Mus musculus: one gene and its partners. The protein of the gene in region 7 interacts with the protein of the main gene of each other region in a pairwise test. Links are inferred from orthologs where the notes say so. Each region holds a gene or a part of one and is shown on either strand. Other genes may lie near its edges.

The links.
Region 1: the proteins of Setdb1 (region 7) and Ube2i interact in a two-hybrid assay, tested with the Homo sapiens proteins (2 studies listed by BioGRID and IntAct). The link is inferred for Mus musculus from reciprocal best matches to the Homo sapiens genes SETDB1 and UBE2I.
Region 2: the proteins of Setdb1 (region 7) and Tsc22d1 interact in a two-hybrid assay, tested with the Homo sapiens proteins (2 studies listed by BioGRID and IntAct). The link is inferred for Mus musculus from reciprocal best matches to the Homo sapiens genes SETDB1 and TSC22D1.
Region 3: the proteins of Setdb1 (region 7) and Tk1 interact in a two-hybrid assay, tested with the Homo sapiens proteins (2 studies listed by BioGRID and IntAct). The link is inferred for Mus musculus from reciprocal best matches to the Homo sapiens genes SETDB1 and TK1.
Region 4: the proteins of Setdb1 (region 7) and Cdk4 interact in a two-hybrid assay, tested with the Homo sapiens proteins (2 studies listed by BioGRID and IntAct). The link is inferred for Mus musculus from reciprocal best matches to the Homo sapiens genes SETDB1 and CDK4.
Region 5: the proteins of Setdb1 (region 7) and Mrpl44 interact in a two-hybrid assay, tested with the Homo sapiens proteins (2 studies listed by BioGRID and IntAct). The link is inferred for Mus musculus from reciprocal best matches to the Homo sapiens genes SETDB1 and MRPL44.
Region 6: the proteins of Setdb1 (region 7) and Mbd1 interact in binary tests that used the Homo sapiens proteins (3 or more experiments, as listed by UniProt). The link is inferred for Mus musculus from reciprocal best matches to the Homo sapiens genes SETDB1 and MBD1.

The regions. Positions count from the first base shown.
Region 1 is NC_000083.6:25,270,632-25,274,719, reverse strand, and holds the start of Ube2i (SUMO-conjugating enzyme UBC9), read left to right. Parts: upstream 1-1,288; 5' UTR 1,289-1,399; intron 1,400-1,954; exon of another isoform or gene 1,955-2,182; intron 2,183-4,088. UniProt on the Homo sapiens protein: Accepts the ubiquitin-like proteins SUMO1, SUMO2, SUMO3, SUMO4 and SUMO1P1/SUMO5 from the UBLE1A-UBLE1B E1 complex and catalyzes their covalent attachment to other proteins with the help of an E3 ligase such as RANBP2, CBX4 and ZNF451.
Region 2 is NC_000080.6:76,414,547-76,418,620, forward strand, and holds the start of Tsc22d1 (TSC22 domain family protein 1), read left to right. Parts: upstream 1-1,274; 5' UTR 1,275-1,536; coding exon 1,537-4,074. UniProt on the Homo sapiens protein: Transcriptional repressor. Acts on the C-type natriuretic peptide (CNP) promoter. Acts to promote CASP3-mediated apoptosis.
Region 3 is NC_000077.6:117,816,015-117,819,514, reverse strand, and holds part of Tk1 (thymidine kinase, cytosolic), read left to right. Parts: intron 1-2,323; coding exon 2,324-2,413; intron 2,414-2,948; coding exon 2,949-3,068; intron 3,069-3,242; coding exon of another isoform or gene 3,243-3,332; exon of another isoform or gene 3,333-3,369; intron 3,370-3,375; coding exon 3,376-3,500. UniProt on the Homo sapiens protein: Cell-cycle-regulated enzyme of importance in nucleotide metabolism. Catalyzes the first enzymatic step in the salvage pathway converting thymidine into thymidine monophosphate.
Region 4 is NC_000076.6:127,062,091-127,066,334, forward strand, and holds the start of Cdk4 (cyclin-dependent kinase 4), read left to right. Parts: upstream 1-1,444; 5' UTR 1,445-1,669; intron 1,670-2,129; 5' UTR 2,130-2,145; coding exon 2,146-2,363; intron 2,364-2,494; coding exon 2,495-2,630; intron 2,631-2,744; coding exon 2,745-2,912; intron 2,913-3,064; coding exon 3,065-3,174; intron 3,175-3,862; coding exon 3,863-3,913; intron 3,914-4,010; coding exon 4,011-4,146; intron 4,147-4,244.
Region 5 is NC_000067.6:79,779,018-79,781,945, forward strand, and holds the end of Mrpl44 (39S ribosomal protein L44, mitochondrial precursor), read left to right. Parts: intron 1-470; coding exon 471-649; intron 650-1,946; coding exon 1,947-2,121; 3' UTR 2,122-2,428; downstream 2,429-2,928. UniProt on the Homo sapiens protein: Component of the 39S subunit of mitochondrial ribosome. May have a function in the assembly/stability of nascent mitochondrial polypeptides exiting the ribosome.
Region 6 is NC_000084.6:74,266,886-74,270,974, forward strand, and holds the start of Mbd1 (methyl-CpG-binding domain protein 1), read left to right. Parts: upstream 1-1,289; 5' UTR 1,290-1,548; intron 1,549-2,517; 5' UTR 2,518-2,543; coding exon 2,544-2,653; intron 2,654-4,089. UniProt on the Homo sapiens protein: Transcriptional repressor that binds CpG islands in promoters where the DNA is methylated at position 5 of cytosine within CpG dinucleotides. Binding is abolished by the presence of 7-mG that is produced by DNA damage by methylmethanesulfonate (MMS).
Region 7 is NC_000069.6:95,354,403-95,358,559, forward strand, and holds the start of Setdb1 (histone-lysine N-methyltransferase SETDB1), read right to left. Parts: upstream 2,801-4,157; 5' UTR 2,663-2,800; exon of another isoform or gene 2,625-2,662; intron 1,801-2,624; 5' UTR 1,792-1,800; coding exon 1,532-1,791; intron 292-1,531; coding exon 140-291; intron 1-139. UniProt on the Homo sapiens protein: Histone methyltransferase that specifically trimethylates 'Lys-9' of histone H3. H3 'Lys-9' trimethylation represents a specific tag for epigenetic transcriptional repression by recruiting HP1 (CBX1, CBX3 and/or CBX5) proteins to methylated histones.

The DNA of each region.
Region 1 (4,088 bases), on a different chromosome or scaffold from region 7:
CGACCTTGTCTACAACTCAGCCCCAATGAGAGACCAAGGTCCCTCAGGATCTGGTGCTCACTGTGATCTTAACTCTTAAACAGTACGGCTACGAACAGGAGGAATTAACAGGGTGAGCTCCAGGGAATGTTGGACAATTGTGGGCAAGGGGCATGGGACCTTAGTTCCTGTTTTGGGGCACCCAACAACCTCAAAAGGTAAGAGGAGAACGAAGGAAGGAGAGAGTGGTGAGTAGATGGACGGAGATACTGACAGATGAACACTGGAGTCCCTGGCAGCAATTGGACCCATAGTCCAAATTCCCAGGAAGCCCTTGTTGGCTGCAACTGGCCCCGAAAGGCCTCCAGCACGTGCCAAAAAAAAAGGAGCAGGCGCCAGAATGGCCACCAGGGGGCCAGCCGACGGTTCTAAGTACCCGTCCCGTCGGTGAGTCGGTGAGGAAGCATCCGAGCTGGGTTGCAGAGGACTGGCCGAGGAAACTGGACTAGGCCACGGCGTGACAAAAGCGTGTCCAGCGGGGCCAGCAGAAGCCGCACAGGGGTTTCAGGTGGAACTAAGGTGTGGGGTGCGGCACAGGGAAGAGGCCTGGGGCGCGCGCGCGGGGGGGGGGGTCCGCGGGTGCTGCCCCTCCCCCACGGCGCAGGCCCATTCCCCTCCCCCACTAGGGGGCTAACTCGTAGGTTAGGGAGCATCCACATTTCTCTCCCCGTCGGTTTTGCTTGCGTTTGGCCCTTTGTATGAGGCTAGTTCATTGGATAGTTTCGAGGTTCACCCCGCCCAAGTTCCTGAGCTGGCCAATTGCAGAAAGTGTCACAGCGCGCTAAGTTCCGGGGATCGTCACCGTACTGCGACGATTCCCAGGATGTTTAGGCCTCAGTGATCTTTGCTCCCGGGACTCGGGCCTTGAGCCCAAGGATACCTCCAGAGCCTGTGCCCGGGAAGGTGCCCTCTGAGCATCCGGATGACCCTTGGGAATCTATGCTTCTTTTTCCTCACACGACTCTCTGATGTGTCCTCGAGTGGACGCGCTCATCCCGAAGAGGAGTTTGCAGACGCTCCCTCGAGCCTAGGACGCGGCCCCTTTAAGAGTGCGGCCGTTCAGGGCACCGCCTGCTTGGACAGGCGCCCTGGGCTCGGGCTCCTTAGGCGGTCGCGGGCAACGAGGGCGCGGCAGCCGCGTGCGGGCTGCGGGAAGCTCGTGTTTAAGTAGACGCGTAGGCCACCGGACGGGAGGGACGGTAAGCTGAGCAGGCGTGTGGCGGGCAGCCCAGCTCAGGCCCCGCCCCGCCCGCTGGGGTCCTGCGCTCCGTGCTGCGCGCGGCGGGCGCGGAGGGAAGTCCCGAGACAAAGGAGCGCCGCCGCCTCTGCCGCCGCGACGGTCCGGGCCGCGGTCGCCCAGGTGAGCCGCCACCGGCCTGCGCACGCACTCCCATCTTCGCCCGGACTCGCCGCCGTTCCCAGTGAGCTTCCGGGAGGCGCCGAGCGGAGCCACGGCGGCCTCCTCTCGCTCGCGGCCTCCGAGTCTCGGCCTTCGGGGCACTAGGGCCCAGCCGCTGTGCCACGGGAGAATACAGGGTTGGGAGCACGGCCCACTGCCCCCCTACTCTTGGCGAACTGAGTTCCGCCGACCCCGCAACAGATAATCTGAGCTTCCCAGTAGCTCCCAGACGCGTTCTGGGCGGTGCTGGGCTCCGTAGTTAGGCGAGTGAGAGTGCGGAAGGCCGTGAGTACTGGGCCGTGTCGGGGCCTGTAAGCACCCGGAGTCACATCAGAAGGCTTCGTTCGTTACCGAGACGCTAGGCTTGTAGCTTGGGTTTTTGTGGGGGAGTCTTGTGTATATTCTCTGCCCCACCTTCCTTTATTCTTAAGGAACTGTTGTTTTAGTGGATGAGTTAGTTACCTGCCTGCATAGCAGAAAACGGGCGTCGAAGGGGAGTTTGTTTTCTTTCTAAAGGTATTCAGGCTGTGAGTGATCGCAGTCCTGCCCTCCTCTGGCTGTCTCTGCCACTGGAAACTTAACAAACAGCGTGGTATACTTACTGAAGGATCCTTAGGGCCTACAGTGTGCATTCGAGTAAAAGAGGCCGCTTCGCCCTATCCAAGCCAGCCGTAGTGCCTGGTACCCATGTTCCCTCTGCCGAGGTGGGCGGAGATAAGCAACCTTGCACAGGCTCTCTGACCGGTAAGTAGCTCTGAAGTAGGTGGTGTCGCCAGACAAATACTGTACACTGTAGGAAGCCTGGAGTCATAAGACCCATCCCTGTATGTCCTTCCTGTCTCTAGTAGTGGGGAGGGGAATGGTTTTTTGGTTTGGTTTGGTTTAGTTTGGTCATTGCATCACAAAACTTTTAGCTCGTGAAGTGACTGTTTGCCTGGGAAGGCAAGTTGTGTTTAAGTGGCTTTTGGAGTGCTTGCGGGAGCAGCAGCACTGCCCCCCAAGTTTCTGCCTAGATCATTGCCAGGGTGCTCCTAGGGTTCCTTTTCCTCGACCGTGGGGCAAAAGGCCTTTAAGAGTTCTGATAAGAGCCACCTCTCACTTCTCCCTGTTTTTGAGACAGGATCTCTTGTAGCCAAGGCTAACCTTGAACTCTTGGTGATTCCCTGGTTCTGTCTCCTTAACACTGAGTGTCCAGGCAAGAGCAGTTGAGCTAGCTTCTCGGTTCTTCTCACTTAGGATAGCTGCAGTTGGATGCTAGGACAGAGTTCTCTGGGCACACAACTTTATCCTGAAGTCAGTTACAGCTGTCCCAACAGCTTTGTGTGGCCCGGTGTCCAGGCTTCTTTCTCCAGAGCACTGGCCCCGGGCTCCAGAGAGAAACCTGTTAGGAAACCCTGCCCAGACTTGCTTGCCATCTTCTGCCATCTGATTGGCTGGATGAGGATAGCTGCTTCAGTGGAAGATGCTAGAGAAAGAGATTGGGCAGGCCTGTGCGTTGAGAAGTTGAAAAGAGGGACACATTGGAAGTGAAGCCCTATGCTCCAGTCACTCTTAGATGAGCGCCACCTGGGTCGTAAATTGCCTAAGAGATGACTATTAGGGCAGGTTGGGGTTTTGTGGCAGAACCTTGGTGCTTGTTCCTAGACAGGCTCTACTCCTGTGCTAGGAAAAGACAGTTGGGTTTGGGCTGGACTCTCTGTTTTGGACTTGAGGTCTGTAAGAGAGGAGCCTTGCCTTTAATTTGTATACTTTGTGATTTGGTATTGGAGTTTGTGGAGCATAAGTACTGTCTGTTGTGATTTATAAAAAAAGGAATCGGGATGTTTGATAGAGCCAGGTATGCTTAGAAGGAATGCCAACATTGTCAAGGCTTGTCCTGGTGGCTTGTGCTTTTTTTTTTTTAATATATTTTATGTGCACTATTACCTGTATGTTTGTGTGTTCGAGGGCATCCAGGTCCCCTGGAACTGGAGTTTCAGGCAATCATAAGCTGGCATGTGGGTGCTGGGAGTTGAACCCATTGGAAGAGCATCTAGTACTCTTAATTTCGCCAGTCCCAGCTTGTGCTTCTAAAAGAGGTTCTTCATGTTGGCTTAGAGTGTACAGGATATTAAAAATGCTGATATGAAGTGTTTGTCTTACAATGACCTCACCCACTGAAGTATTTCCTGAACTCTGGGCTCTGGGGTGATGCTGTACCTCTGATGGCAGTCCCAGCCCCTCTCTACTTGGATTTGTACAGTCATCACAAGCAGTCTAGGTGCTGTGGTGCGTGACTGTCAAGGCCAGCTGTGGCCACATGGTGAGACTGTCTCCAAAAATAAAGGAAAGAAAGAAAGAAAAAGTGGTCTAGGAGCCAGATGTAGTGGCTCATGCCTGTAATCCCAATACCAGGAGCTAGCCAGGAGTTTTGGGCTAACCTGGGCTACAGTGTGAGACTCTGAACTTAAAACAAGTCATCTGTAACTTCAGTGCAGGACTCACCAGAATGCTTTGACCCAGTGGGTCTGTCTGTTCAGGTTCAGAACAACTGTGCTTACAGATGGAGGTGCATATCTGATCAGCCCACCTGTAGCCCAGGGATCCTAGCTGGGTCAGGAACACGCAGTAAATCCTAGGGTAGTCACAGCTTTGCAGATAAAATGGGCAG
Region 2 (4,074 bases), on a different chromosome or scaffold from region 7:
CACCCCCCACCGCCCTCCGGCGTCGGCGACTCCGCCGGCCTTCGGTAATTTCCGTGGGAGACGGAGCCGAGAGCTCGGCGCGGACCGAAGACAGGCCACCTCCCCTGGTCAGACCCGGCTTTATGTCTGCAGCGCCGGCGCGCACGCGCAGACGCCATCTTCCCTCCTCTCCTCCACGACCCCTCCCCCCTGCCACCTCCTCCTCCTCCTTCTCCTCGGTCAGAGCTCGACCCTCCTCCTCTCGCGCTGGGGCGCTGGTCCCTCCTCTCTTGATGCCGCGAGAGACCAGGGGATACGGAGCAGCCCGAGAAGAGCACTAGTAACAACCATCACAGCCCCCTCCTCGCCCGACGCCCTCCCACTCCCCCGCCCCGCGCCGCCACCGACCAACCCCACCTCTCATTTCTTTGAACGGCGTCGGCTGCAGCCGCTGCACCAGCCCCGTCTGGCCGCCACCGCCGCGAAAAGGAGCCACCGCCGCCCGCGGCCCCCTCCCTCCCTCTCTCCCTCCCTCCCGGTCGCGGGAGCAGCTCGGTGCCGAACCAGCCGGCGGGCCGAGAAGAGGACGCGAGCTCGCCCCTCCGCTCCCGCGCACGTCCCGCCGCCCGCCGGAGCAGCCCGGGCGCCGGCGCCCTTCCTCTCCGAGGACGTGTGGCGAGCCGAGCGCCTGCCCCGAGGGAGGAAAATGCTCGGGCTCCATGGCTGCCAGTGATGGAGCGGTCCCTGGGCTCCCGCTGCTGCTGCCGCCACCGCCGCCGCCGCCGCGCCCCGGCCGCGCTCCGCGAGGATCCGGCGTCTCTGCGCGCCCGCCCGCGCCTCGTTGCTGGGCTCACCGTACCGGGCGCCCCGCCACCGCCCCGCTCGCAGCCGCGCCGCCCGGGCCCCAGCCGCGGCCAGCCTTTCCTCCCGGAGCAGCCGTCGCGAGCCCAGGGGGTTTGAGAGGGGCCGCGGGCCGTGGGGGGAGGCCCGAGCGGGGCCGGCCGCGCCGGCAGGGGAGGTTGGAGCGACGCTGAGCTCAGGGCTCGCCGGCGGCCGCGGCGCCGGGGGTGGCGAGGGCCGGGGCGACCGCTCGCTCCGCGCTGCCTCGGTGCAGGACGAGCGGAGGGGCTTTTGCAGCGGCCGTCGCCGCGGGAGGAGGGGGTTGAGCTGGCTCCGGAGTTGGCCAAAGAAGGTGGGCATTTCTCGCTTCTCCTCGCCTCCCCCGCCCCCTCCTGGGCTCCCCTCCCTCCCGCCCCGCACCCCACGTGAAGCGGAATATAAAGGGGGGTGTGTGACTGGAGGGGGAAGTGAATGGCGAAGGACTGAAGGGGTCCCCCTTCGGTTCCCCAGCCACCTGGTTCACCCGGTTCATCCTCCCTTCCCGAAGTTAGCCCTCGAAGGCACGAGCAGCCGGCGCCTTCGGCAGAGGAGGAGGAGGAGGAGGGATCGCGTCGGGCGGAGCTTCAGGTCCTGTTCGTCTCTCCGGCTTCTCCATACAAAGATTACGGTGCAGAAGGAAATTGCACTTGCCTCCTCCGCCCCCCGGTACCCAGCACAATGCACCAGCCGCCGGAGTCCACCGCCGCGGCGGCCGCTGCTGCAGACATTAGTGCTAGGAAGATGGCGCACCCGGCAATGTTCCCTCGAAGGGGCAGCGGTGGTGGCAGCGCCTCTGCTCTCAATGCAGCAGGTACGGGCGTCAGTGGTGCTGCTCCATCTTCTGAAGATTTTCCTCCTCCTTCGCTGCTCCAGCCGCCGCCTCCTGCTGCATCTTCCACGCAGGGACCCCAGCCTCCGCCTCCACAAAGCCTGAACCTCCTCTCGCAGGCTCAGCTGCAGGGACAGCCTCTTGCGCCAGGCGGAACTCAGATGAAAAAGAAAAGTGGCTTCCAGATAACTAGCGTTACTCCGGCTCAGATCTCTGCCAGCATCAGCTCCAACAACAGCATCGCGGAGGACACCGAGAGCTACGACGATCTGGATGAGTCGCACACGGAAGATCTCTCCTCTTCCGAGATCCTCGACGTCTCCCTTTCCAGGGCCACTGACTTAGGTGAGCCTGAACGAAGCTCCTCAGAGGAGACTCTGAATAACTTCCAGGAAGCTGAGACACCTGGGGCAGTCTCTCCTAACCAGCCCCACCTTCCTCAGCCTCATTTGCCTCACCTTCCACAACAGAACGTTGTGATCAATGGGAATGCCCATCCCCACCACCTCCATCATCACCATCACCCTCATCATGGGCACCACCTTCACCATGGGCACCATCATTCATCACATGCTGCTGTGGCCGGTCCATCCATTCCCGGAGGGCCACCCTCGAGCCCAGTGTCCAGGAAACTCTCTACAACTGGAAGTTCTGATGGTGGTGTGCCAGTCGCACCTCCTCCTGCAGTACCATCGAGTGGCTTACCAGCATCAGTGATGACGAACATCCGTACTCCAAGTACTACAGGAAGCCTAGGTATAAATTCGGTTACTGGCACGAGCGCTACGAATAATGTTAACATTGCTGCTGTGGGTAGTTTCAGTCCCAGTGTGACGAACAGCGTGCATGGTAATGCTAATATAAATACAAGCAATATCCCTAATGCTGCTAGCATAAGTGGTGGGCCTGGAGTTACCAGTGTTGTTAATTCGAGTATCTTGAGTGGCATGGGCAATGGTACCGTTTCTTCCTCTCCTGTTGCTAACAGTGTCCTTAATGCAGCTGCAGGTATCACTGTGGGAGTGGTTTCCAGTCAGCAGCAGCAGCAGCAGCAGCAGCAACCAACAGTTAACACATCGAGGTTCAGGGTTGTGAAGTTAGACTCTACTTCTGAACCCTTTAAAAAAGGTCGATGGACTTGCACAGAATTCTATGAGAAGGAAAACGCTGTGCCAGCTACAGAAGGCGTGGCCGTCAATAAAGTGGTGGAGACGGTGAAGCAAACCCCCACGGAAGCATCGTCCTCGGAGAGGGAGAGCACTAGTGGGAGTTCTGTGAGCAGTAGTGTGAGCACACTGAGTCACTACACGGAGAGTGTGGGAAGTGGAGAGATGATGGGAGCCCCGGCTGTGGTGGCGCCGCAGCAGCCGCCGCTACCACCAGCGCCTCCAGGTCTTCAAGGTGTGGCTCTCCAACAGCTAGAGTTCAGTAGCCCTGCTCCACAGAGTATTGCGGCGGTTAGTATGCCACAGAGTATTTCTCAGTCACAGATGTCACAAGTACAGTTACAGCCTCAAGAGTTGAGCTTTCAGCAGAAGCAGACTCTTCAGCCTGTCCCTCTGCAAGCCACCATGAGTGCCGCAACTGGTATCCAGCCTTCCCCTGTCAGCGTGGTCGGCATCACGGCGGCTGTAGGTCAGCAGCCTTCTGTTTCCAGCCTGGCTCAACCGCAGCTGCCATATTCTCAGACAGCTCCTCCCGTGCAAACTCCTCTTCCAGGGGCACCACCCCAGCAGTTACAATATGGGCAGCAGCAACCAATGGTTCCTGCGCAGATAGCCCCAGGCCATGGCCAGCCAGTGACTCAAAATCCAACTTCAGAGTATGTGCAGCAGCAGCAGCAGCCAATATTTCAAGCAGCATTGTCCTCTGGGCAGTCCAGTTCCACGGGCACGGGGGCAGGAATATCAGTGATTCCTGTGGCTCAGGCACAGGGGATCCAGCTGCCAGGGCAGCCCACAGCAGTACAAACACAACCTGCAGGGGCGGCTGGGCAGCCCATTGGCCAGGCTCAAACAGCAGTGTCCACTGTACCAACTGGCGGTCAGATTGCAAGTATCGGTCAACAGGCAAACATACCCACTGCAGTACAGCAGCCCTCTACCCAAGTTACACCTTCAGTTATTCAGCAAGGTGCTCCTCCATCTTCACAAGTAGTCCTACCTGCTCCAACCGGGATCATTCATCAGGGAGTTCAAACCCGTGCTTCAAGCCTTCCACAACAATTGGTCATTGCACCCCAGAGTACCTTGGTAACTGTGCCTCCCCAGCCACAGGGAGTAGAAACCGTGGCCCAAGGGGTTGTTTCCCAGCAGTTGCCCACAGGCAGTCCTCTGCCCTCTGCTAGCACTATTTCTGTTACAAATCAGGTTAGTTCAGCCGCTCCT
Region 3 (3,500 bases), on a different chromosome or scaffold from region 7:
CAGTGCCTGTCTGGCTGCTTCTGGCATAAACTGTGCCTGTTTTGTCGATGCTCAGGTGAGACGGCGGAATGGGTCTATATTCATGCTGGCCAGGGTGCCTTGCCTGATGTTGGCCCAAGAGATTATGTTCAGTCAGGGCCAGGACTCTGACGAGTGCCAGCCCAGCCTGGACGCTTCTAATTATACATGTGCGTTTTTATAGAGCAGGCCATGTCACATGCTGTGACTATTGTGGGGATGGCTGGGTCCAGGGACCAATCACATTCATTCCAAGTTTCTGCCCTTTGGCTGTGGCATTCTCTGTCTGGAGACAAATCTGGAGCTTCCAGCTCACCTCTGTTGATAGACTGGGAGGGACTGGGGACGAAGAGAAAGGCTAGAACACTAAGGCGTGGAGCAGGAGTGTGCTCAAGAAAAGGTCTGAGGAACCAGGCAGGGTGGCAGACCTGCACACTCAGCTCCACGAACACTGAGACAGGAGATTGCTTTGAGTACCAGGCCAGCCTGGGTTACACGGTAATAACCAATCAAAAGCAAAAGATGGAAGAGATGGGGAGACAGAACAGTGAGGCCTTGGCTCTGCAGGCGTGAGTCCCTAGCACCCCTGTAAAATGCTGGGTATAGCCACGTGTCCATAACCGCAGTACTAGGGAGGCAGAGGCAGGCGGGTCCCTGGAGCTCCCTGTCGCCCATCTGAATGGCTGTGGTCTAGATTCAGTGAGAGTCCTATCTCAAACAAAGAAGGTAAAGAACTATTAAGGAAAATGCCCAGCCTTGCTGGGCAGGGGAGAGAAGCCTGGGTCTTGATTCTAGGGAGACACTGTGCTATTGAAGGTTGGCCGGCCTGAGTGACCCCGGAGGGCAGCTATCCCTGCCAACCTGCTCCTGCCTCGCACATCTCATTGCCAAGAGCCATTCTCTCTCACGTGGGATTTCTTGGTGGGAAAATGCCAGTGTAACCTCATGGTGCTTATTCTCTGGGTTTTCACTTAGGCTCTCCCTCCACCCGTCCATGGGGGCTGAAGAGCGTGCGTGCGTGTGCGTGTTTATGGGTGCCTGCAGAGGCCAAAAGAGGATATTAGATCCCTTGGAGCTAAGCTATCTGATGTGGGTACTGGGAATTGAATTCTGGTAATCTATAGGAACGAGTCATACTTTTAACTGCTGAACCATCTCCCCAGCCCTGTATGTTTTGGGACAGGATCTCATAGCTTTGAACTTTGTAATCCTTCTACCTTCAAAGTACTGGTATTATGGTGTTGGACACTGTGTCTGGTTCATTTATTGCTGGGGGTGGAGCCCAAGGCTTCATGCACACTGGGTAAGCTCTCTTCTACCAACTGAGCTACCTGGTCTGCTCCTGAAATGTATGAGTGTTTGCTATTTTTATATGTATGTCTATCAAATGTGTGCAGTGTCCATAGAAGCCAGAAGAGGTCACCAGGGCCCCTGGAGCTGAAATTAACATATGGTTGTAAGTGACCATGTGGCCCTGGCAACTGGGTCCTTTGCAAGAGTGGCACGTGCTCTTTCCTGCCGTCCACCCCGAGTTCTCTCTCTGAAAGCCCATTTTAAACATGAGCTGTGTTTAGCTTCTAAGTCTGCCCTAACAGAAGTCAGCAAGGACTTTAAGCCCAGAGCTTTGTGCACTGACCGTTCTGGAAGGAAGAGACCCTTGGTGTTGGCAGGGCCGCTTCCTTCCAGGAACTGTAGGGGAAAGTTCTAGCCTGGTGGCTCTCAACCTTCCTAACTGAGACCTTTAATACAGTTCCTCGTGTGGTGACCCCAGCCAGAAGATTATTTTTGTTTCTTACACTCTTGCCTCTCACCCCCTTGCTCCCCATTCCCTTCCCCCACTCTCCACATGGTCATGGTCGGCCCCCATGTCTCTATTCTCTCCTTTCTGCTTTTCTCTGCCTCTGCTACTCTCTCAACTCCCCTCCTCATGGCCTAAATAAACTCTATTCTATATATTTTTGTTGCTACTTAATAACTATGATGTTGCTGCTGTTATGAATCATAATGCAAATATCTAATATGTGACCCCTGTGAAAGAAAGGGTCGTTCAGCCCCCGGGGGTCGTGACCTGCAAGTTGAGAGCTGCTGTTCCAGCCTCTCTGGTGTGTAGAGGCCTCTCTCAGATGCTGGATGGAGCCTGCTGGCAAGCTCTGGGTAGCAGTGGGCAAGTGGGTGGGATGTCTTAACAGGACTGGCGGTGTGGTCTGGTCTCCGGCTCTGGGCTTACCTGCATGCTCAGCTCCCCCACGGTCTTCGTGAGGCCCTTGCCTGGGGCAGCTCACCTCATCCTCTGGACTTTTCCCAGTTTCCTGACATTGTGGATTTCTGTGAAATGATGGCCAACGAGGGCAAGACAGTAATTGTGGCAGCGCTGGATGGGACCTTCCAGAGGAAGGTAAAGATGTCTGACTCTGGCTTGGCAGAGGATCCTGAGGCAGGAAACAATATACAAGGTCTCCCCAGAAGTAGGTGTGTTCAGAATAGAAGCTATTGGCTAGTGGGTGCTCTGAACTGGCCAAAGGGTAGAGAGCAGGAGGGTGTGGCTCTCAAGAAAGCAGGATCAGTAAAGTATGATGTAGCCTGAATCATGGGGTTTAAAAGAGAAGCGTTGGCGGTGGGAAGAGCTCAAGCTGAAGCATGCTTGCCTTGCAAAGCACACAGGCTCGAGTTAGATCCTCAGGACTCTTTAAAATGCTATCACCAGGAGACAGAGACAGGCAGATCTTAGCGGCTTACTGGCAAGCTGATCTAGTCTACACTGCAAGCCCCAAGCCAGTGAGAGACCGTTTCCAAAAGCACCAAGGTAGACAGTGCAGAGGCACAGCTCCTGACGTTGCTCTCTGGCCCCCACACACATACACATGTGAACACAGGCAGAGGAGGGAGGTGCCTGGCTAACTGACCGCACACACCTGCTGTCTTCCGTGCAGGCTTTCGGCAGCATCTTGAACCTGGTGCCCCTGGCGGAGAGTGTGGTGAAGCTCACCGCTGTGTGCATGGAGTGCTTCCGAGAAGCTGCCTACACGAAGAGGCTGGGCCTGGAGAAAGAGGTACACACACACACACACACACACACACACACACACACACACACACACACACACACACACAACACACACACACACACACACACACACACACACACACACTTACTTCTGCCCAAGGAGTGGGGTGGGCTTAGGCTCTGGCTTCTGAGTCCCACCCTCACATCTCCCTCCCACCAGGTGGAGGTGATTGGGCCTGGAGAAAGAGGTATACACACACACACACACACACACACACACACTTCTGCCCAAGGAGTGGGGTGGGCTTAGGCTCCGGCTTCTGAGTCCCGCCCTCACATCTCCCTCCCACCAGGTGGAGGTGATTGGCGGAGCCGACAAGTATCACTCCGTGTGCCGCCTGTGCTACTTTAAGAAGTCTTCAGCCCAGACTGCTGGCTCAGACAACAAGAACTGTCTGGTGCTGGGGCAGCCGGGAGA
Region 4 (4,244 bases), on a different chromosome or scaffold from region 7:
AATTTGAGACCAGCCTCAACTCTAGTGTCTCAAATATGATTTTAGAATTTAGGGTTCAGGAATATAGCTCAGTGACTGAACCCATGCTTACTGCATATAAAAACACTAACTCCAAGCCGGGTGTGGTGGCACACGCCTTTAATCCCAGCACTCAGGAGGCAGAGGCAGGCAGATTTCCAAGTTCGAGGCCAGCCTAGTCTACAGAGTGAGTTCCAGGACAGCCAGGGCTACACAGAGAAACCCTGTCTCGAAAATCCAAAAAACCAACCAAACAAACAAACAAAAAAACACTAACTCCAATCCCCAGCACCCCCACCCCAAATCAATTTAAAATAGCTCTAGATTTTAGGCAATTTTTCACAAATGGGAACATGGTCCTTCATCCCATATCCCTAAGAGGTGGGAGACAATAAAGGAGTTGGAGCAGACGAAATCGTCACACAGATCTACCTCTGTCTAACTAGATTTCTGTAGGCAGACCATTTAGGAAACGCTGATCAGATCAAGAATATGTTCTAAGCTGGACTGGGGAAAAAATAGGAACATGACCCCAACGAGGAGTTGCAGGTTTGCAAAAGGACACGTCATCTTCCAGCAATGTGGTGGTGACTGACCCTGGACATGCTTACCCTGTCATCTGTTTATGCAATCACATATATATGTAGCAATCTTAGTGTAAAGACTCTTGTAAAATCAAGAACCCCTATTTTCAATCACTTCTTGCTGCTTTTAATATTCCTGGGGAGGTTTACAGGTTGGGAAGAGGGAGGGCATTAAATTGCTGCCCCCCCATACCCATACAGTGGCTTATTATATTTCCTTCTGTCCATCTTTTAATCCTAGTTTCCTCCTCAGATAGAAATTATTTATTCCCTGTTTTATAAGACCACAATTACCTATACTAGTTATCTTTATCATCACTTCAAAGGGCGAGTGACTGAGACACCAAAACAAAAACATCGCATACCAACTGGAAGGAAGCACTTAGTAAAATTGTGTTGAATGAATGAGTAAAAGAAAGACACAAATACGAATGTTTCCCCATGGCGGTGGAGTGGAAATGTTACAGCACCATTTCTGGCACCAGGATCTCCCACTAACACCTCGACCTCCCGCCCACTCAGAGACCCATAGTGAGACTGAAGATGCGCTCTGGCTCGGCCTTGAGCCCAGAGTTGAGAGCTGGTTGGCCCGGTTGCCATGACACCGCCTTGTGCTCCACCCTCTCTCGCCCCCACACACCCCCTCGGCAGTCAGGGTATGGCAGCCAGTCACGTGCCACACAGCGTAACCACACCTCTGCTTCCCAGCGCAAAGTCAAGGGGTCACGTGGGATAGCAACAGGTCACGTGGCCGTCAGGGCCCCGCCCCCTTCCCCACCACACCCCTCCCATCAAAGCAGCCCGGGTTGCCCACTGCGCAAGGGTGAAGATCACGTGTCCAGAACGTCCGGCGCCCGCCCCGCCCCCCGGGTTTCCGCGCGCCTCTCTGGCAGCTGGTCACATGGTGAGGGTGGGGGTGAGGGGGCCTCTCTAGCTCGCGGCCTGTGTCTATGGTCTGGCCCGAAGCGTCCAGCTGCCCGGGACCGATCCCCGGTGTATGGCGCCGCAGGAACCGGCTCCCGGGCCCAGATAAAGGGCCACCTCCAGAGCTCTTAGCCGAGCGTAAGGTGAGTGCAGTCTCATCCAGGATCGGGGGACCAGTCCCCGCCACCACCAGCACCCTCCAGCTCCCCACGCGTGCGCGTCGCTGGCTGATTATGGAAGGTGGCCCAATGGCGGGAAGTGGGGCCTTTGTGGTCGCGGGCAAGGGTGTGATTTTGGAGAGTGAAGTGCAGAATCTTCGGTGCAAACCCTGTGCACTGTGTGATCCTCTTTGTGCCTAGTGCGATGTCCTCCGAAAGGAAAGAAAGCATTCTTTTTCTTCCTCCGGGACAAAACGTGGCCGGAGGAGGAGGGTTTGATGGGAGTCTTTGTGTTACCTAAGGCGCGGGCCCTGGAAGTGTGGAGGGGTGGGATGTTGCTGATCGCGTTGGCGAGGTCTTGTGCAGGAGTTCCTTTGTTACCGCCGGGTCATCCCCCTCCTAACCGTGAGAGTGAGTTTGGTATTAGAAGCCTCTGTGATTGTAGATCCCCTGCTTCGAGAATGGCTGCCACTCGATATGAACCCGTGGCTGAAATTGGTGTCGGTGCCTATGGGACGGTGTACAAAGCCCGAGATCCCCACAGTGGCCACTTTGTGGCCCTCAAGAGTGTGAGAGTTCCTAATGGAGGAGCAGCTGGAGGGGGCCTTCCCGTCAGCACAGTTCGTGAGGTGGCCTTGTTAAGGAGGCTGGAGGCCTTTGAACATCCCAATGTTGTACGGTGAGAAGGTTGGATTGGGAGTGGGGCGGAGAGGACAATAGGACCCGTAAGGCAGGAGTGGGACCCTAGAACGCCAGAGGCCACGTTGAGACAAAGGGGACGACTAGCTGGTGATCATTTGTTCTTCTCAGGCTGATGGATGTCTGTGCTACTTCCCGAACTGATCGGGACATCAAGGTCACCCTAGTGTTTGAGCATATAGACCAGGACCTGAGGACATACCTGGACAAAGCACCTCCACCGGGCCTGCCGGTTGAGACCATTAAGGTGAGTAGGGGTGGGGCTGGGGGCGAGGGTGGACCGATCTTTGCAATAGAAGTTGTTGGGATTTTGAAGTGATACATAGTTTCCGGTGTTCTGTGCTTTCTTCTTGAAAAACAGGATCTAATGCGTCAGTTTCTAAGCGGCCTGGATTTTCTTCATGCAAACTGCATTGTTCACCGGGACCTGAAGCCAGAGAACATTCTAGTGACAAGTAATGGGACCGTCAAGCTGGCTGACTTTGGCCTAGCTAGAATCTACAGCTACCAGATGGCCCTCACGCCTGTGGTCAGTAAAAGGCGTTAGCCGACTAGGTTGTGATAGGGGTAGCTCTTGGTGGTTTCCCATAGCAACTGAGGAGTCTTGTACATGAAGTTTTCAGAGCCAGGCAGGTCTGGTTCGTGAGGTCGACACTCACTCATTTCTACTATTCTCTTCAGGTGGTTACGCTCTGGTACCGAGCTCCTGAAGTTCTTCTGCAGTCTACATACGCAACACCCGTGGACATGTGGAGCGTTGGCTGTATCTTTGCAGAGATGTTCCGTCGGAAGTATGGGACTAGAAACTTTTTGTTGTTAATGGTACAGGGTTAGTCCTGGCCGTAGATCAGGTTGGCCTTGAACTCACAGAGCCCTGGGATTAAAGGCATGCGTTACCACCGCCCGTATGGGACTTGAAGCTCTTAACCTACCTTCAGTTGCACATAGCTTTGGCTGCTTGTCTTACTGTGCTAGAGGTTGAAATCAGAACTCACACACACTCAGTAAATGCTTCCGTGCCACTGAACTTCACACTCCGTCGGCCCCCAAGTCTTTTACAGACATGCCTGTTCTTGACCATTCGCTTTTGTGCATGTATGGTACGGGACATCCAGCCTACCCAGTTCATACTGACCACCTTGCCTAGAACCAAGAAACCATATAGGCATGCCCTGGATTTAGGATCTTCCCGTTCCTCGTCTCCACACTCTCTAGTTGGGTCTACATAACGGTTACTCCTCAATTTTTTTTTTCTTTTAAAAATGTATTTATTTCCATGTATGTGAGTACACTCACTGTCTTCAGACACACCAGAAAAGGACTTCAGATTACATTACAGATGGTTGTGAACCACCGTGTGGTTGCTGGGAATTGAACTCAGGACCTCCGGAAGAGCAGTCTTATCTGCTGAGCCGTCTCTCCAGCCCCCACTCCCCTATTTTTGATATAACACATACTTTGAGTCTTTTTCTGCCTTAGGCCTCTCTTCTGTGGAAACTCTGAAGCCGACCAGTTGGGGAAAATCTTTGAGTAAGTATTTGATAAGGAAAAGGAAAGACATTTCCTGCTGCCGCGGAGACAGGAGCTGGGAAAGGCCCCTCCTAACAGAGTTGTCCTGTCCCCACAGTCTCATTGGATTGCCTCCAGAAGACGACTGGCCTCGAGAGGTATCTCTACCTCGAGGAGCCTTTGCCCCCAGAGGGCCTCGGCCAGTGCAGTCAGTGGTGCCAGAGATGGAGGAGTCTGGAGCGCAGCTGCTACTGGTACTGGACCTGGGCGGGGATTGGGTTAAGATAAGAAATACCGTGGCCTGGGGAACTGGCTCAGTGGGTAGAGTTCCTTTGCATAAGTGTGAGGACCT
Region 5 (2,928 bases), on a different chromosome or scaffold from region 7:
ACATGCTTCTACTTTGAATATCAATGATTTGAGTATTGAATTCTGAGGCAGGAGTCAGTCTTCTGAATAATTTTCATAGGTTATGTTGCTTGACATCATTTTCTTTAGGTTTGAAATTGAAACATTTAAAGTTCTATGATTTTTATTAAAAGTACAAACAACAACAGCCTATGAGGACATCCAGGTATAACTCTGGTAGAGTGTGCTGTCCTTGCACGTGTGAGCCCATGAGGGAGAAGCTCAAGCTGGAATTCCAAAGCCAGAAACCGAACATACTCTATAATCTCAACGTTTGCAAGCAACACTTTAGTGCGAAAAGTTTCAGATTCCGAGCATTTTGGATTTTCAGGCTGTATGTGCTTAATATGTACATTTGCCATTCATTGCCTATCAGTTCTTATGGTAAAAATGGATTTTGAATTCTGGCCATAATATTCTTTGTTCTAATTTAAATGTTATTTTATGCACAGGACTTTTTAATTACACAAATGACGGGGAAAGAGCTCTTTGAGATGTGGACCGTCGTAAATCCCATGGGACTACTCGTAGAGGAGCTGAAGAAGAGAAACATCTCAGCTCCTGAGTCTCGACTCACCAGGCAGTCTGGAAGCACAACTGCTCTGCCTTTATATTTTGTTGGCTTATACTGGTTAGTAAAAATTCATTGTTCACTTTTTAACTTTGATTGGAAGCCTAGAAGATAGACTTCCAGTTTTTAAGTGTTACTTCTAACAGTATTAAAATTGTATCTCTGAGCTGGGTGGGGGGCGGGGGGAGGTACATGTCTTTAATCTTAGGCTAGTGTTCAGGAGGTGGAGGCAAGCAGATCTCTGTGAGTTTGAGGCCAGACTGTCTATAGAGAGGCCTCCCAGAACTACACCGTGAGACCCTAGTGGGGCAGGGTGGATAGGGTCATTATCTGGTTTTTGTTATTGGTGATGGTGGTGGGTTTTTTGGTTTTCTCTTTCTGCTGTTAATAGAAGACAAGTTATCTGTGTTTTGCTAGTAGTAACTTTTGAAAATTTTATGTGTGTGAGTGTTGGCCTGCATGTATGTCTGCATCACATACATGTGGAGGCCAGAAGAAGGTGTCGGTTCTGGAACTAGAGTTACAGATGTTTATTAGCTGTTAGGTTCATCCGGGAAATCCGACCTGGGTTCCTTACAAGCACAGCCAGTGCTCTGAGCAGTGAGCCTTCTCTCCAGCTCCTGCTAAGTCACTTTTGGACAGCTGTTTGCTATAGAGTTTTATGGGATATAAGCTCACCTTATATTTTCTATATATATAAAAAAAATACATCTGTTCTTGGCAGCAGCTTCAACCGAGCCTCAGAGTGGAAGACAGGAGCTTTGCTGTCTACCAAAGTGTCAGCACATTTAGAGCCTTGTAGTTTTGTTAGAGATAAACCTGTCTGAAATGGATTTCAGGTTTTAAGATTAAAGTGGGGTAGAGGTGTAGCTCAGTGGTGGAATGCTTTCCTGAGACAGAGAGACAGAGAGGGAGGGAGAGACAGAGAGACAGAGAGGGAGGGAGAGACAGAGAGACAGGGAGAGAGAGAGAGAAAGAGAGAGAGAGAGAGAAAGAAATCAATTAAAGCAGTAGATGTGGACATTGAGTATCTTGGATAAGTAGATTAAATTTTGTGCAAATATTTTTCCAATCTTTGTGTGAAGATTTTCTAATCTGAGGGACTTGCCATGTAGACCTAACTGTTTCAAACTCAGAGATCTGCCTGTATCTGCCTCCCAAATGCTGGCATCAAAGGAGTGTGCCACACTACCCAGCTCTAATCCTTGTGAACTTCTGATCCTTGTGCCACCTTATGCTTTGCCTTGGAGAAACTGGGCCTCGTAGGTTGTTGTATTTGGATGGGATGGGATGGAAGGCATAACTGTCTCATGTGCTGTCTTCCCGGCGTTCAGATCCCTGTCTGTTTTCTTCCTAGTGACAGAAAGCTGATTGCAGAGGGACCTGGGGAAACTGTACTCGTTGCAGAGGAAGAAGCTGCGCGCGTGGCCCTCAGGAAGCTGTACGGATTCACAGAGAACAGGCGGCCCTGGGACTACTCCAAGCCCAAAGAGAGCCCAAAGAGAGCAGAGCAAACCAGCGTTGCCAGCTAGGCAGCAAGGGGTGACATCATCACTACTGAGCAAAGCAGTGAGACAGGGCCAGAGGGGAAGAGCGCAGAATATGGGAGCAGTGTCTCAGTGCTCTTCCTGGGCCCTAGAACTAGACAAGTGCTTTTCAGGTGACATCAGGTGACAGGGATTTGTTTCACTTTTTTTTTCTGTTTCTCTTACACACTGGTTTATTACTGTGTATAATTTGTACAGCTAGATGTATTTTATTCCCTCCAGCTTTGAAGTGTAGTCAAATACATGCCATATGTGAAGTTCGTTGTAATATGAATAAAAAGCTATTCTTTGAGATGTCTTTCCTTTCTTTATTGGTGCAAGAGAGGCTGGAGAGGTGGCTGTGGCTGGGAGTGCTACAGGTCTGAGGGCAAAGGTACAGGGCAAGGGTAGGCCAGGTCTACCTGAAGGGACAGGACAGCTAAGCAAGTGCAGGTGGCAGTTCAGGCTACATCATTATCAGATATTCAGCTGAGCCCCAGCGACAGTTGGGAGTCCTCTGCCTATATTTGGTAATTAGATGCTAGGTATGGGGACCACTGTAGCAAAAAGTGTCTGCCTCTTCCTACTGTCCAGGTGAGGTCTTTTGGGCTTGAAGTTGATTTGGGCCACTTTGAGCCCCAGAAGAGTAATAGGCCGAGATCAGGGTTTTTGTTCACCCACTCCAATTCTCGCCTAGGCACCGTGGGCTGGCTGCCTCTATAAAAGGCTGTAAATCCTGCTGGCTGGCCATTTTTCTCTGGTGTGTGGACCAGTAGTCCAGGGTGATGTCTGCACTGGCTGTCCCCAGGTTCT
Region 6 (4,089 bases), on a different chromosome or scaffold from region 7:
TTTATGTTGACCATTCAGGAGTAATCAAAGATTCTATGGCCAAACTTAGAGAACGCCTAGATATACGTAAAAGAGAAAGAGAAAGCCAACAAGGATGGTTCGAAAGCTGGTTTAATAAGTCCCCTTGGCTCACCACTCTCCTCTCCACCATAGCAGGACCTTTAATTACACTTATGCTTTTGCTTACTTTTGGCCCCTGCATCCTTAATAAGTTGGTAGCTTTTATTAGAGAAAGGATAAATGCAGTACATGTTATGGTACTAAGGCAACAATATCGGGTCCTCCAAGAGGTTGAAAACTGGCTCTAAGATTAGAGCTGTTTTCTAAAAGGAGTGGGGGATGAAGAATAAAGATAAAAAATTACTGAACTCTTCCTCACCCCAGAGCCCGACCCCTCCCATCTAGAGATTGTTCCCAGAACACTCCTGAACTCTTCACCCCAGAATGCATTCCTGAACTCCTCATCCTAGAGTTCGAACCCTCCCAACTAAAGACTGTTCCAAGAACATTTTTGAGATAAGGGCCTCCTGGAACAACCTCAGAATGAACCGGGTACATTGCCAAATAATAGGACATGACCCCTTAGTTACGTAGAATTCCCTTGGCAGAACCCCTTGTCCCTTGGCAGAACCCCTTAGTTATGCAAACTTGTACTTTCCCTGCCCCGCTCTCCCCCCTTGAGTTTTTCTTATATAAGCCTGTGAAAAATTTGGCTCGAGGTCGATTCTCCTCTACACCATACTAGGTGTATGAGCTTTGACCCCAGAGCTCTGGTCTATGTGCTTTCTTGCTGTTGCTTTATTAAATCTTGCCCTCTACATTTTGAGTTCGGTCTCAGTGTCTTCTTGGGTCCGCGGCTGAGTGAGGGTCTCCCTTCGGGGGTCTTTCATTTGCACACCACACCTCCTCCTTGGTTCCCAAGCAAGGAACCTGGCCAGGGTGCAGCGATCCTATTCCACAAAGAAGCGGGTACCAATCCTGAAGAAGGCAGTCACAGGAACAAAGGCGGAATGTCTCCTGGAAAAGGAAGTGGACAGGCATAACCTCGTCGTTCAGTGCTCCTGCTATTTGTGGAGACCGAAATTCGGAGTGGGCCGAGCCGGCCAGGCCATTCACGCCCCCTTGTGTCCGGAGCGACTTTGGAGCGGAGCAGCAGGGAAGGTGGAGGTGCCTGTGCACCGAGGCGCGCAGACGCACAGGCAACCGAGACCCGGCGGGCTGCGGGTGTTGTCAGTGCGCAGGCGCTGAAGATCCCCGGGAATCCGCGCGCCGCTGTGAAGCCGCAGTGCGCAGGCGCGGAGCCTCCCCAATGAGGGCACGCGTGACCAGGCTGTACACACAGCGGCTGGTCCTAGTCGGAGCCCCAAAGGCAAGCATTTGGTTTCCGGTTCCGGGAGTAAGCAACCGCCGCAGAGGCGACTGTTTTGGAAGAGGCACTGGTGGAGGAGGAAGAGAAGAAGAGTGGAACGGGCCGGTCGCGCTAGTGGGATCCTTCTCATGGGTCCACGGGCCTAGAGCGGAGGAAGCTGCGGGCCTGGTGTCAAGCTGGTGAGACAGCCGTGGGAGTGGCGACAGCTCGGGAGGAGGCTGTGGAGGCTCGGAACGCTAGCGGGGGCCCTCGCCTCCGGAGAAGGAATGACTTCCTCTGAATGTTTAAAGAGGGGACTGGGGTAACTGGACAGAAAGACCGAAGAGGAAGGGATGTGGCTCAGGGCATTGACAGCGGTGTCTAGATTCTGGGACTAGGATGGCGAGGAGTAGAAGAGAGAGAACGTTCAGAGAGTCATTGAGTCTTCGTGTTAAACAGGATAGAAATGGCGTCCCAAAGCTGATCATGCAAAGATAAGGCCTCGAGACGGGAGAAATAGTTAGAATAATGAGGGACTGGACACTCTTGGTGGACAAAAAGAAGTAGAATGTCCGATGGTTGGGAGGGAAGGCCTTGTCTTGGAACACAAAACTAGGAAATTGGGAGGCCAGGTCACTGTGGAGGGAAAAGGAAGTTTCACAAGATGATAAGAGGAATGGAGAATGGTAATACAGTTAGAGAAAGAGTAGCTAACACCGGCTGTAGGGGTGAGCAATAGAGACGCTTGGGACCGAGACTGGAGAAGAGTTGTGGGTCTGAATAATGAGGGGAAAATAAGCTCTGGGGCCAACTCTTGAACTTAAGAGGGAGGCTTCCAACCTGAGGAATGGGAAGAATGTGTGGTAATGTTTGATCCAGTGTATGGAGGAGTTGGGGGCTCTGATCCATAAATGCAGCTAGAACACCGGGAGACGTTGGAAACTCAGGTCAAGGAAAGTTTAAATGGGTGCTTAGAACACTGAAGCAGGGTCCCAAGGACCAGAGAATTAGGGACCTCTTACCCAGAATAGGAGGACCGAGTCTTCTCAGACTGAGGAAGGGTGATATGCATGTTTGGAGGAGAACAAAGAGGGAGAAACAGGTTGCTTTTGTGGCCTGGAAATACTTTGCCACTCTCCCCTATACTCTACTTTCTTTCAATCTTGCAGGCTTCTGTTCTGTCCCTGAAGCATCTATGGCTGAGTCCTGGCAGGACTGCCCAGCCCTGGGCCCTGGCTGGAAACGCCGAGAGTCCTTTCGAAAGTCAGGGGCCTCGTTTGGACGCTCAGACATCTATTACCAGAGGTAACGGGTGTGCTCTGGGCAATGTTCAGTGGCGTTGGACCTTGTTAGTAATTAGAGCAAAGGGGTGTGTTTAAATCTATGGATGGAGTTAAAATTGTGCACATAGTCCTTATTACAAGTTTTGTGTTTTCTTAATCATGTATTCCTAATAAAGTTGATTTAATTTGGTCAAAGTCAATATTCACGGTGCATTTGTGATTATTCACAGACAAACATGGAACAGCTAAGAATTTGAATTGTCTAGTGCGTGTATTCGGAATCAAAGTTAAACAAGAACTCTCTCTCTCTCTCTCTCTCTGGTTCTGTAAACTGGTCATTCTTTCTACTGTCTCTTTAGAGCCATATTTTTGTTGGCAAATGTGTTGTTTAAAATGACTCCCAAATAAAGTGCTGAATTATTTTCTAGTGTTCTGAGCACGAGAAGATTTTCTTTCCTCCTTGTCAGATAAGCTTTTCTTCCACACATGAATTGCAGTGCTGTCTGGTTGAGTTGCTGTGTTCAAAAATTAGAACTGGTCCATCCAGAACAAGAAGAACAAACTTGCTGAGATGTGTGTGAGGCTGCTCTGGAAAGAACAGAAATTGTTGTAGGCTATTTAGTCACACTGTGAACCCCCTGAGACTGATTAGACCTACTAGGAAAAAAGTCTTGTTTGTAGCTGTGGTGTGGCTCAAACTTAGGTCAAGAGGCAGAACAAGCAACCAGTTGACAGGAAGTGAACATAAGATAATTAAAATATCATAGAGAATAAGAGGTAGTCATGAGGGTGGATAGAGAGATGCACAGGAAGTAGAAGGGAGGGACTTTCAGTTTGAAGAAGGGATTTTGTGTGAGTGGGAAAAGCTTGCTGGGCTGTCAGCAGAGGAGGAAGGTCAACTGGGTGCTTTCTCTGCCTCTCTGAGCTATCGGGCTCCCAAGTCTTCAATGGTAAAATCGAATGATTGAGATTTTTGTTAAAAAACAAGAAATTACCATCTATAGTGCTTGATGAAGCTTCAGAGAAGTTGTTAAGGTAGCCGTGAACCAATGGCCTTACAGTAAAGCACAGTACCAGCATCGTTACAGGGAAAGCCAAAAATGTATCAGCCATCATTAGGGAAATGGAACCCTCTCAGCTGGTGCTGGCTGGCCTGTGTGTCTCAGAAGATGATGTGGTGGAGAAACACTGTACTTACGGTATATGTTCTGTACAGCAGGTGTCTTCAGGAAAACAACAAAACATTAGCAGACAAACCTAGATAAAACATCCTCTAAAGCCATTGGCTCTTAGTCATTAACAATCATGGAGTCATTTGTACGAAACCAGTGTTTTTAAGCAGAGACTCATAAAACAGAGGACAATTGATCAGTTGCTTGAAAATGTGACAGGCTTGCTGGAACCCACCTGTGTCTCCTGTAGGCACAGTGGTCCTTGTTTCAAAAATTCAGGGTTTGT
Region 7 (4,157 bases):
TTACTTGTTGTCATAATAAGTCAGTCAGGTTTTTGGCATATTAAGTAATGACAATGTGATTCTTTATGTGCAACATACTTGTCTTCCAGTATTTCAGCTTCCATTCTAAGACTTTTCTGACCAAAGCTTCATCATTTACCTGAATCAATACTGAGGACATCATCATCTTCATCAGGAATCTCAATGATCTCTGTGGGCCGGGAAGCTTCATCCTCAGAGCTACTGTCATGATACTGTAGTCCCAGCTTAGAGTAGAAATCCTTCACCAAAGACTCACAGTTAGTCACTTCCCTGATATTGGAACACATGCAGAAAAGATCAAAGCCAGTGGAGACAGTGCAGTACAAGAGCATTACAATGTATATACATTTATACAATACCTAGCCTCTGAGCTCACACATGTAATCCTAGTCCTTAGCCTGAGGAACCAAGACTAGCTAGGTTTGAGGTCACTTTGGTCAATAGAGTTCATGGTCAATAGAGTTCATGGTCAATACAGTTCATGGCCAGCATGGCCTACAGAGTAAGAAACCTTTAGACAGAACAAAAACAGAACCCAGCACTCAGGAGGCAGAGGCAAGCAGATCTCTGAATTCCAGGCCAATTTGGTGTACAGAGGTAGTTCCAGGACAGCCAGAGTTACAAAGAAACGGTCTCAAAAATAAAACAAAACAAAAACAGAAACAAAAACAAAAAACAACCCCCCCCACATACAAAACACAACACAGTAACAGGAAATTATGTATATTTAAATATAGACTGTTTGCTCTACATGTTCCAAAGTACCTATTTAGAATGCTTTTCCACAGAATGTTTGTTTCCATGTAATTCTTCTATGAAACAATTTTCTAGACTTCAATTTTCCACCTGCTGTTACAAAAGTCCTAATATCTGATATTTATTATCTATGTGGCTTTGGGAACTAAGAAGACAGCTTTAAATATCAACTTCATTTTGCTGGGTGCTGTGAAACATCCCTTTAATCTCACCACTGGAGAAACAAAGGCAGATGGGTCTCTATGAGTCCAGCTCAATATGGTTTATATGGTGAGTTCTAGGGCAGCCAATTCTACGTAAAGAGACTTTGTATCAAAAATGGATGAACGAATGAAACCCCAATCAACTCAACAAGCATAAGCTAGGATCATTTCATTGCAGCTCTTAGGAGGCAAAAGTCGGCAGATCTCTGCAAGTTGCAGGCCAGCAAGATTTAGGTATTGGGATTCTGTCTCAGAAAAACAGAAAAGACAGCAACTCTACAATCTTCACTTTCTGGGGATCTTAGGAAGGAAGTTCAGTCCAGGAGGAAGAGAAGGGAATTCAAGCCTTTAACCTAACTACTGCTGATCACATAGCAGCTACCCACAGGGAAAAAGTGTTCTGTTGCAACTCTGCATTACAAACTCAGAGGAAGAGTAAGGCCCCACCTGACTGAAGTCGCCAAAGTATAAAGTGCTTAGGACAATGACAACAACAGTCACTCCAAGGAGGACACAGATGGACATTTACTTCTGCTTCCTGGAATCCCTACCTGGATGCATCATCAAACAGCCGATCAACATAAGCCACTTCAGACTCTTTCTGTAGTACCCACGTCTCCAGCTCTGCGAGCTGCTTCTTGCGCTGCTGTATGCAGTCCATCTTTTCCAGTTCCTCATCAATGTACTGACGAAGTTCCTCCATAGAGATACCCAGCTCTTCAACCACCGCCTGCTGCAGCTCAGCAATCTCTGCAGAGTCAGCTGCAGCTGGCGCTGCAGCCAAACTCATGCACCCAGGGAGGGAGGACATGCTTTGGCCCTGTGCAGGATGAACAAGAAGCGAAAACAACTCTAACCGAGGCTCACACCATTTCTGTCTCATAATCAAAAGCCTGCAAACTCTGTTCTCTCCCCTCCTCCTCCACAAGGCGATCTGGAGATTTCCCGGGGAGCCTCATCTTCTCACACAGACCCAAGCTCTGGGTAACAACTAAGAGCGGGGAGACCCTGGAGAACTCCAACACGCACCAGGGAGCTAGCTAAAACAAGGTTTCAGGAAACCGAAGAGTGCTTATCGACCAAGGAAGATACTTCTGGGAGCTACTTGTTCCTTAATTGGCTCTGTCACTACACCGAGTCTAACCGAGGCACCGGCGGCTGGAGACAGGTGAGCCGCAATGAACTAATTCCACCCGGGTTGTTTAGTCCTCCTTTTCCTCGCGGCTCTTTGCTTTCCCGTGGCAAGGTGGCTTTTAAAACCTCCTAGGGCCATGCAAGAGGGCAGCTGCACAAGGGATGGGCTTCCCGGCTGCACCAGGCCCTGGGAGTCTGCGACCAGCAAAGAAGAAAAGGGACGAAGAGAGGAAAAGTCGGACATCCCTACGTGATCAGAGCAAAAGCTTGAAGCCATGGCGACCACCCAGCAGCCACACTCGGAATAACGCGCACAGGCGCTTGGCCGCCCGGGCCACGCAGAACCGCAGCAGCCTCCAGCCTGCCGCCCTCCTGCTTTCCCGCGCCTCATCGACGCACCGCCTCACCCACGCACCGCCTCGCGCCCACCCGCAGCCGCCGCCTCAGGCCCGCCCGCCCCCGGCTCGCTCCTCTCCCGCCAAGTTCCCACACACAGCCCCAGCCTCGCACCAGCCAAGCCTCCCAGGTCCACCTCGGCCTCAGCGCACCTCAGTCCGTCCTCCCCACAACTCTGGCGCCCGACCGCAAGGGCCGCGTCTCACAACCCCGACCCCAGGTTTTACTCCAGGGCTCCGCCTTGCCAAACCCAGGCAAACTGAAGGAGAGACGGCGGGGGAGGGGAAACAGCGTGAGGAGGCAGGAGGGGGCGGGGAGCAAACCGACGGTCCGGAAGCAATAGGGAGCGTCCTTCCGGCCTCTCCGACGGTAGCCCGAAGGGACCAAATTTATTGCATAGCGCTGCGGTACAGGGGTTATGGGAATTTAAGGAGAGTATGCATGTGTGAAGTAGGGCATTTCCAGATAAGGGGCTAGTTGGACAAAGCAGGTATTTTCCGGAGTCATTTATGGAAGCTCTTCCCCTACAGGTGGCCAATATAGTTGATTATTGTTTTAATTTGAAGATTTTTTTTAGTAATAAAATTAATTTTTTAGCAAAATTAATGAGTGTTCATATAGGAAATAAGAAAAATACAAATAAACAACAACAAAAAACTCATCATTTTATCACTGAGATTGTGTAGTTTTCATCTTTCACAAGATTAAGGTTTTTTGTTTTTTGAGGTTTTTTTTTGTTTTTGTTTTGTTTTGTTTTTGTTTTGTTTTGTTTTTTTGTTTTTTTTTTTTGTTTTTTTTGTTTTTTTTTTTTGAGACAGGGTTTCTCTGTATAGCCCTGGCTGTCCTGGAACTCTCTCTGTAGCCCAGGCTGACCTCGAACTCAGAAATCTGCCTGCCTCTGCCTCCTAAGTGCTGGGATTAAAGGTGTGCACCACCACTGCCCAGCTCTCATTTCTTTCTTTGCTTCTTTCTGCCTACTCATCTTTGAATGCCATTACTTTCACAGCAGATCTGGCCAATCTCCCAGCACTGCTCACACCCCTCTAGCCTAAGAACAGCCTTACAAATAAACTGCCAAACTCAAGTACACTGTCTTCTTCCACTGTCCTCCCATAACCCTGCCTGCAAGGGTAAAGGAAGCTGAAACACAGAAATAAAGAGCAGACTCAAGAAGTGTTTTGTTGTGGTAGTTTTAACATGGGGTCGTGCTTTGTAATCTTGGATGGTCTGGCACTTGCTATGTAGACTGTGCAAAGATCTACCGGCCTCTGTTTTCTACCTGTTGGGATTAACCTGTGAGCCACCATGTCCTGCAAGGTATCTATATAAAATATATTTTTCTGTACACCTGTGTGTCTGTGTATGCATATGTGCCCATAAGTGCAAGTTGGCCTCAAAAGCCCGAAGAGAATACTGGATTCTATGGAACTGCAGTTACAGACAGTTGCCATCCAACATAGGCACTAAAATTCAAACTCAAAATAATCTGGAAAACAATAAGTGTTCTTAAATACGAAATCATTTTCCAGCCCTTGTGTGTGTTTGTGTGTGTCTTTAAGGAATCCAAAACATTTGGGCAGCCATGGCCCTCGTGTTCTTGGCAACAGAGCCCAAAAAACCGGTCCCGGAGTTTACTTACACAGCAGA